Linked DNA regions of Canis lupus familiaris. The protein of the gene in region 2 purifies or fractionates together with the protein of the main gene of each other region. This does not show direct contact. Links are inferred from orthologs where the notes say so. Each region holds a gene or a part of one and is shown on either strand. Other genes may lie near its edges.

Evidence for each region.
Region 1: the proteins of RAB6B (region 2) and SLC12A4 purify together in Homo sapiens (co-immunoprecipitation; 3 studies listed by BioGRID and IntAct, with this or other methods). This does not show direct contact. The link is inferred for Canis lupus familiaris from reciprocal best matches to the Homo sapiens genes RAB6B and SLC12A4.

What each region holds. Positions count from the first base shown.
Region 1 is NC_049226.1:82,129,330-82,132,974, reverse strand, and holds part of SLC12A4 (solute carrier family 12 member 4), read right to left. Parts: intron 2,400-3,645; coding exon 2,253-2,399; intron 2,168-2,252; coding exon 2,113-2,167; intron 582-2,112; coding exon 451-581; intron 1-450. UniProt on the Homo sapiens protein: Mediates electroneutral potassium-chloride cotransport when activated by cell swelling. May contribute to cell volume homeostasis in single cells. May be involved in the regulation of basolateral Cl(-) exit in NaCl absorbing epithelia.
Region 2 is NC_049244.1:31,246,213-31,249,857, forward strand, and holds part of RAB6B (ras-related protein Rab-6B), read right to left. Parts: intron 548-3,645; coding exon 494-547; intron 303-493; coding exon 197-302; intron 1-196. UniProt on the Homo sapiens protein: The small GTPases Rab are key regulators of intracellular membrane trafficking, from the formation of transport vesicles to their fusion with membranes. Rabs cycle between active GTP-bound and inactive GDP-bound states.

The DNA.
Region 1 (3,645 bases), on a different chromosome or scaffold from region 2:
CAATGGCCTCCACGCAAGGTCCAGAGGCGGTTCACCCTTTTAGGGATGAGGACAACATTGATCTGAAGGGCCCTGGCATAGAGCCCTGGGGGATACAGACTTGGCCAGAGCCTACACAAGCCCAGGCGGTAGGCTCTGCATGATCAAGATCATGAAGTTTTAACTTTTCAACAGGTCACAGACCACTTGCTATGGCTGAAATGGTGCCCAGGTGGATGGAACACTCAGGGTCGAGGTGAAGGCAGCCAGGCTGCTTCCCTGCCTGGCCCAAACTGGCAAGGAGTTGAAGGGGAGACTAGCGTGAGCAAAGACCTTTCTCCCTTGAGAAGGCCTTCTGCATAATAAGCCCTAGACCCTGGCCAGAGGTGAGGGGAGCATGAGCAGCCCTGGCCTTTGGGGAAGGGACTATTTGGACAAGACCAGAATTGGCCAGGGCTTAGCCTAACTCACCAGCAGGATCTCAATGGCACCCAGGATATACATGGCTGCTGCAAATGTTGTTCCCAGGTAGAAGCACAGGCCCACAGCGCCTCCAAATTCTGGTCCCAGTGAGCGGGAAATCATGAAATAGGAGCCTCCAGCTACAAAAGAGAAAGTCAAGGCTGGTTCTTCTTCAAGGGGGGGTTCCCCCCATGACAACCCCTCACAACCACCCAGGGTGACAGGGACTGTTTTTCCCATTTACAGATGAGCAGAGGGTTGGGAGGTTTGCACAAGCCTGCACGGTTAATAAGTGGCCACGCTGGGGCTGAACCCCCGTGCCATCTGACTCCAGTGCCTAGCACAGCCAGTGAAATGACTGCTTTGCTAGGGCAACCCTAATCCATAGCAGTGCTCAAGTGGTCCACTGTCCCACCAAGTCCTTGCACTCAGGCCGGTCCCCACAGCCTCTAGCTGGGTGTATCCTAGCTCAACAGGCCTTACTCCTCGCAAGGGCTGTGTCTGTTAGTCAGACCCCTCCTGACCAAGACAAGGGCTGTGTTGTCCAGTTTTTTGTCCCCAGGGCCCAGCACATGGCTGACCATCAGGTGAGTACCATGGCTAACCCTCCTGACGTGAGACTGTGCTTCCTCTGGAGTCTAGATAGACAAGACTGACAGAGTCAACACTGGGCCACAGGGCTAGCGGGGGTGCAGGGGTTAAGAGTGACCCCATGTTGTTTGTTCAGTCTGCTCCTAATAAAGTGTCTCTGGTGAAAAATCTGGGGATAGGACTCCAAAAACTTTAAAAAAGTTAATCCCTTCCATGCTGTAATCCTACCTCTAGGATCCTCTCCTAAGGGAGTTGCCAAGGGCAGTGCATAGAGATCTGTGTGCAAAACTGTTCATGACAACGTTGTAACAGTGAAGAAACAGAATCCAAGAGCAGAATAATCACATAAATTAGGTAATATCTTATTGATCCAGTTTAACCAAATACTGTTTTTAACTCAAGAAGGTGTGATTATGGGTACTTCCAATTTTCCTTTCTATATTTTTCTTCACTTTCAAACCTTCTTATGGTAATCATAATCTTTTCCCCTTCTTACTTTTATACTAATACTACTAAAGCTGTTATTTAAAAAAAAAATCCAGACACAGAAGCCAAACTGAATAGCTAAACAGCCAAAGTGGAATAGTTTGAGCAACAAAATAAATAATGATAGCACTGGATTATGATCCAAAGAATAAAATACCCGGAAATCTACATCAGTATAAAAAATGGTTGAATAAATACATAAACAGGGTCTCTGAGAACTAAGTCCAATCCCATCATCCCTGCTGAAAATGAAAGCCCTCTACATTGTCTATCCTGTAATCCGTAGCATCTAGATTCCTTAGTTTGGGCCACCCCGTGTGTCCCAGTATCTTCTTTGTCAGCCCCAGCATCCTTTTTACAAATATTACTTTTATACTAAACAAACGAAACACAAAACATAACAGTAATCTCAAATTCTGTCAAGCAAGGATGCTCCTAAGTGTTGGTACCATCACAGAGTCAGTGATTAAGACCTCACTAGAGAACTACTTGGGGAGGGAAGGAGGGCATGGCTTGGCAATGAGGGTTCCCAGGCACATCAAGGTGGATTCTGGACCCCTTCCTCCCATCAGGCCTGGGGTGGCGCTTACCCACCTGGAACCACACCGTTGGTGGCGATGGCGCTCATGGAGATGGCTGTCAGCAGAGTCTGTGGGAAGGAGGCCTAGGTGAGCAGCTCAGCTGGGCGGGCTCTGTGGGGTGGCTGTGGCCCCCACCCCAGCGAGGATACTCACACAGCAGCAGCAGATGAGAACAATGAGGAGGGCCTGCAACACACCGGCTGTGCCTACCATCCAGGTCAGCCTCAGGAACAGGATAACTCCGAAGATGTTTTGCAGGCAGGGCAGGTACACCCCCATGAGGGTGCCCATGCTGGGTGCCTACGGAGCAGGAGGGGAGGAGGGGAGCAGAGAATATCAAAGGGGCTCAGATGCGCCATGGAAGGCCAGCCCCTGGTCACTCAGAAGACTCCTATCCCCAGGGTGTTCTACCAGAGAGTAGGTTGGAATCCCAAGGGTAGTCCTGGGGAGCACAGTGGGTGGGGTGACAGCTAGGATGTCTATGTTGACTTCCGTATAGGAAGGCAGTTTGGGACTGGAAAGTTATAAAACCAGATTATTTTAAAAACCCCACATGTGAGCTTTTGGGCCTCACCTCCCCCTCCAGGTATGGCCCTCTTCCCTTCCTCTCTTTTCTTAAACTTCTAGAACCTTCTCATCCAGCAGGACCCATGTCACTCATGTCAGAATCCAAGAAGTTGTTCCTGGGAGCCCCTCTCTCCAACCCCCAAGTCCAGTCCAGGTGGATATGAAGTTCTGCTTGGTCTGCTTCTTAGCTGCCCTGAGATCAGCCTGCCTGACCTCAGTCTTAGTCCCTTGACCCTGGGGCACTACACCTGTGGCACCTGGGTGGTGCCCCCCCCATGCCTGTCGACTTCTCCACACTCCAGCCCACTCTGCTGCCACAGCAGGTCTCTGAAAACCAAGTCCAATCTCATCATCCATGTTGAAAACCCTCTGCGTCCTCAATCCTGTAATCCACAGCGTGGGCCAGGCTCCCTGATCTGGGCCACCAGGTGTACCCAATCACCTTCTCTGACACCTTCAGCCCCTGATGACATTGACTACTCACAGCCTCTGAACCAGGACATGTGCTGGGCTCTGCCTGGAAGGGTCAGCCCTGTCTCCTTGCCTGGCAAACTCTGCTTCAGTTAAACCTTCAGGGGGACTTAACTGTTGCCTCTTCCATGAAGTTCTCCTGGGTTGCTTTAGGTTGAGTTTGGTACTTCCTCTTGTATTCCCTCAACACATGTGATCTACCCTTTCATCATAGTGGTCACTACGGGTCATGGTAACTGTTCACTCAAATGCCTCATGACTGTGCTGGGGTATACTCAGTTTGCTCACTTTTGTTTCTTTTTTTTTTTTTTTTCTTTTTTTTTTAGTTTGCTCACTTTTCTTTCTTTTTTTTTTTAATTTTTATTTATTTATGATAGAGAGAGGCAGAGACATAGGCAGAGGGAGAAGCAGGCTCCATGCACCAGGAGCCAGACGTGGGATTCGATCCTGGGTCTCCAGGATCGCGCCCTGGGCCAAAGGCAGGCGCCAAACCGCTGCGCCACCCAGG
Region 2 (3,645 bases):
CTGTCACAGGATGGTGGGGGAAGGTGGAAAACATGCTGGTATTCAAAGGCAACTCACCCCCCACCACCAAGGACCCATCTTCTTGCAGTCAGAAGACAAGCATACACAGCATACACGTGTGCACACATGAGCATGCACACAGGCCCCAGAGCCTCTATGAGCCACCCTCCCTCTGGCACCCTGGACCCACACTCACTTGTGATGTCGTACACCACCACAGCCACTGTAGAGTCCCGGATGTAGCTGGGAATCAGGCTGCGGAACCTCTCCTGGCCGGCTGTGTCCCAGAGCTGCAGCCGTACCTGTCACACGGAGGGCAGGGAGGTCAGTGTGATCCTCACTGGGGGCTGGAGGAAGGCCCTGGCTCTGGGATGCCGGCCCTGCCAGCTCTGCAGTAGACATGGGCTCTCTCAGTGCTGCCCAGCTAATGGCCCCAGCTGATAAGTCCAAAGGAGCCCTCCCTGTCCTTCTAGTTCTAAAGTCAGGTACTCACCGTACGATCTTCCAAGTACATGGTTTTTGACAAGAAGTCAATCCCAATGGTTGCCTATTAGAGAAAAACAGGGAAAGGTTAAAATTGAAATGCCTCAGGCAGGCAGTGATAGCCAGCAAAAGAAGAGACACCCATGCCGAGCCTAAGGCAAGTCCTGCCCTGCTGTCCCTGCCTCCCCCTGCCAATAGTGAAGCCAGTTGTGCCTCTCAGAGGAAGTGGGTTGGGGCTAAGTAAGGATGAGGACAGGTTTTCGGGAGTGACAAAACTGCTCTGTGAAGGGGACAAAAGAACCAGGCGAGGAGACTTCCCCACCCTGATAGGTGTATCCCCTGCCTTCCTCAGGTGGGAGCCTCGAGGAGCAGAAGCTGGGTGGTCTCCTGGCCCAAGCCTGCTTGACCTCACCTGCCTCCTTTCTCTCACAGCCTCCCCTCTGGGCTCCTGGAACTCCGGCCCCCAGGCTTGGTCCACCACTGCCCCCAGCAGGCAGGGGTGGAGTGGGGAGCAGGAGCAAGGCTTGCTGCTGTGTGGGCAGAAGAGAGCAGCTGGGTTTCCTCAGGGACACAACAAACCATCCAGAGCAGCATCTCCCTGGGAAACCACACTGACTCTTTTCTTCCAAACCAACATATTAGGAGCCAACTGTCCCCAGCACACCCCTGTGCCCTCTCTTTTCTGGCAGTGGGGAGAGGTGACTGGGCAGGATATAGTCAGCCTTGTGGCCAGATGGCTGGGACCCACCACTCACTGTGTGGCCTTGGACAGGCCACCCAACCTCTCTAGGCTCACCTGCCCCACAGCATCTAGGATAGGAACTAAGACACTATCAGTGTGATATGGAGATGTCACTGCTATGCAGTTAATAATAATGCCTGATGACATAGCCTGGATGTCCAGGGCACTGATAAATGATAAAGTACAGCGTGGTACACCCATGTGGTTAGAATCCTTAGCAGCCATTTAAAATCATGTTCTCAAAAAATATTTAAGGACCTGAGGAATCGGTCATCAGGCAGAAAAGAGCAGGTTGTAAATATCATGTGTAGCATAATCCCAACAGGATGCACTTAAGTAGGGAGAAGTATTTTTCATATTTTCTTGGATACTAAAATGAAAGGAACACACTAAACACCAGTGTGAATGACGACAGTATGGGCAGTTCTTTTTGCTTCCTTCCTTATAATTTCCTCTATTTTCTCCATTTTCTTCAATTAATGTGTAATAGTTCTAGAAGCAGAAATAGAATATTTTAAAACAAAAACATAAGATTAAAAAGTAACCTTAGTTGTATGGGAAACTGCAGTTACTTCTGATTGCAAAAACCACGATGGAGGGAAGCACAAGGAGATAGAAAAACCCATGTTTGCAGGTCCCAGGCTGTCTGCAAGCATGTTCATGTACATTCAGACGTCCAAATCATTCCACAAAGGAGTTAAACTGTATCCCCCCTGGAAGTCTGCCCTAATGCAGAGTCCTGGAGTGTCGAGGAATCTTACAATCCTAGAACACGGGTGTTAAAACATACACCTTAGACATAACCTCCATCCAAGCCCTTACATTGGAGATGAAAGATCAGGGAAGTTAGAGGGCACGTCTGGGGTGACTTCATGAGTCAGAGGCAGAGCTGGAAGGGTCAACACTACAAGTTCGGTATCACTTGGGCTCTTTGTAGCCCAGCGTGCACATCTTTCCTACATGGTGTAGTCACTGGGGAACAAGTCTGGAATTGACAGGTGGCTTGTGGAACCAGCCTTGTTCCTTAAGTCACACAATGTTCACTCATCAATGAAGTGTGACAGTCCTTGTTTCCAGATACCCTTAAGGAGAATTGTGCAGACCACGTGGAAATCTCTCCCTTCATCAGTGCCCCAGGAGTGCCAAGCGCCTCTGTAAAGTGACCCCTGAGCTGAAAACCAGGTGTGTGACCTCAGGATTGGTGGCAGGGACTGCTGGCTATCCTCCCATATGCAGTCTCCCTTTCGACAGTAATAGGATTCTAGATATGTAAATGGATCAATGGCTACCCCCATAAAGATGGTATTTCCCAGCTTCCTTTGCAGGGAGATGGCTAAATTCTGGTCAGTGGGATGTAAAGGTGATGTATGCATCTTCTGGGATGATGGGGGGCAGGTGACATGCTCACAGCTGCCCTCTTTCCCTTTCCTGCAGCTTGGAATGAAGACAGGTAGTGGTGAGTCATGCTGGCCCATCCAGATGAAGGTGATATAGTAGTGATGACAGAGCAACCAGATGGAGGAAGCCTGAGTCCCTGACCTAGGGGAGCCACCTCAGTGTCCTAGACTGCTTACATCCAGACTATTGTGCGAGAGAGAATGGAATTTCAATTTTGCTTAAGCTACTGTTATTTTGGGTTTCTTTTAACACAGATTAACAATAGTCTAACTAATAGAGCAAAGAACCTTGGAGAAACATACCCCTCAAAGGTAAGCAGCACAGATGGCAATGCTGATATTACTGATGATAGTGTAACAATAACAACCCCAATGCATCTCATGTGGGCACAAGCCACTTCTGCTTCCATGGAGGACTGAGAAGTCACCAGATGACATGACAAGAATTGTGCCATCTGGATCAAGCCTTGGCAAAGCTCAACTCAGTGGCCTCTGCAATCATAACTGCCATTACTGGACACCCACATATTTTATCTCCATTGCCCCCCTCCCCGCCCCGCAAAAGCCTGACCACATCATCGGTATTGAAGAACTAAGTCTGGAAGGGGCCAACCTCCTCTCTACCTCCTCCCTTTCCAGCTGTCTCCCACCTTTAGTCCTACTTTCATGCTTCTTGCACATCAGAGAAATATCTGGTTTCTTAACTGACTACTCTGTCTCCAACAAGCCAGGCCACTGAGCTACAGCAGACCTTCCCATAACTGTACACATTTTTGCCAAAGCACAGGCATTGTTCCTGGGAGTGGCTGAACCATCAGCTTTGCCCCAAAATATATTCCTATGATTGGTTTCCAATAATGGCTGAGTAGTTTTTATCGAACTAACCCTCCTACAGATAACTATTATAAACTGTGGAAAAATACAAGAAATAATTTTTAAGCACTGAAGAGTGAGCAAAAGCAGACAGAAAAATGGAGGGGTTACAAGCTTTGAAGGAAGGCAAGAGAACGAAGTGAGATCCAA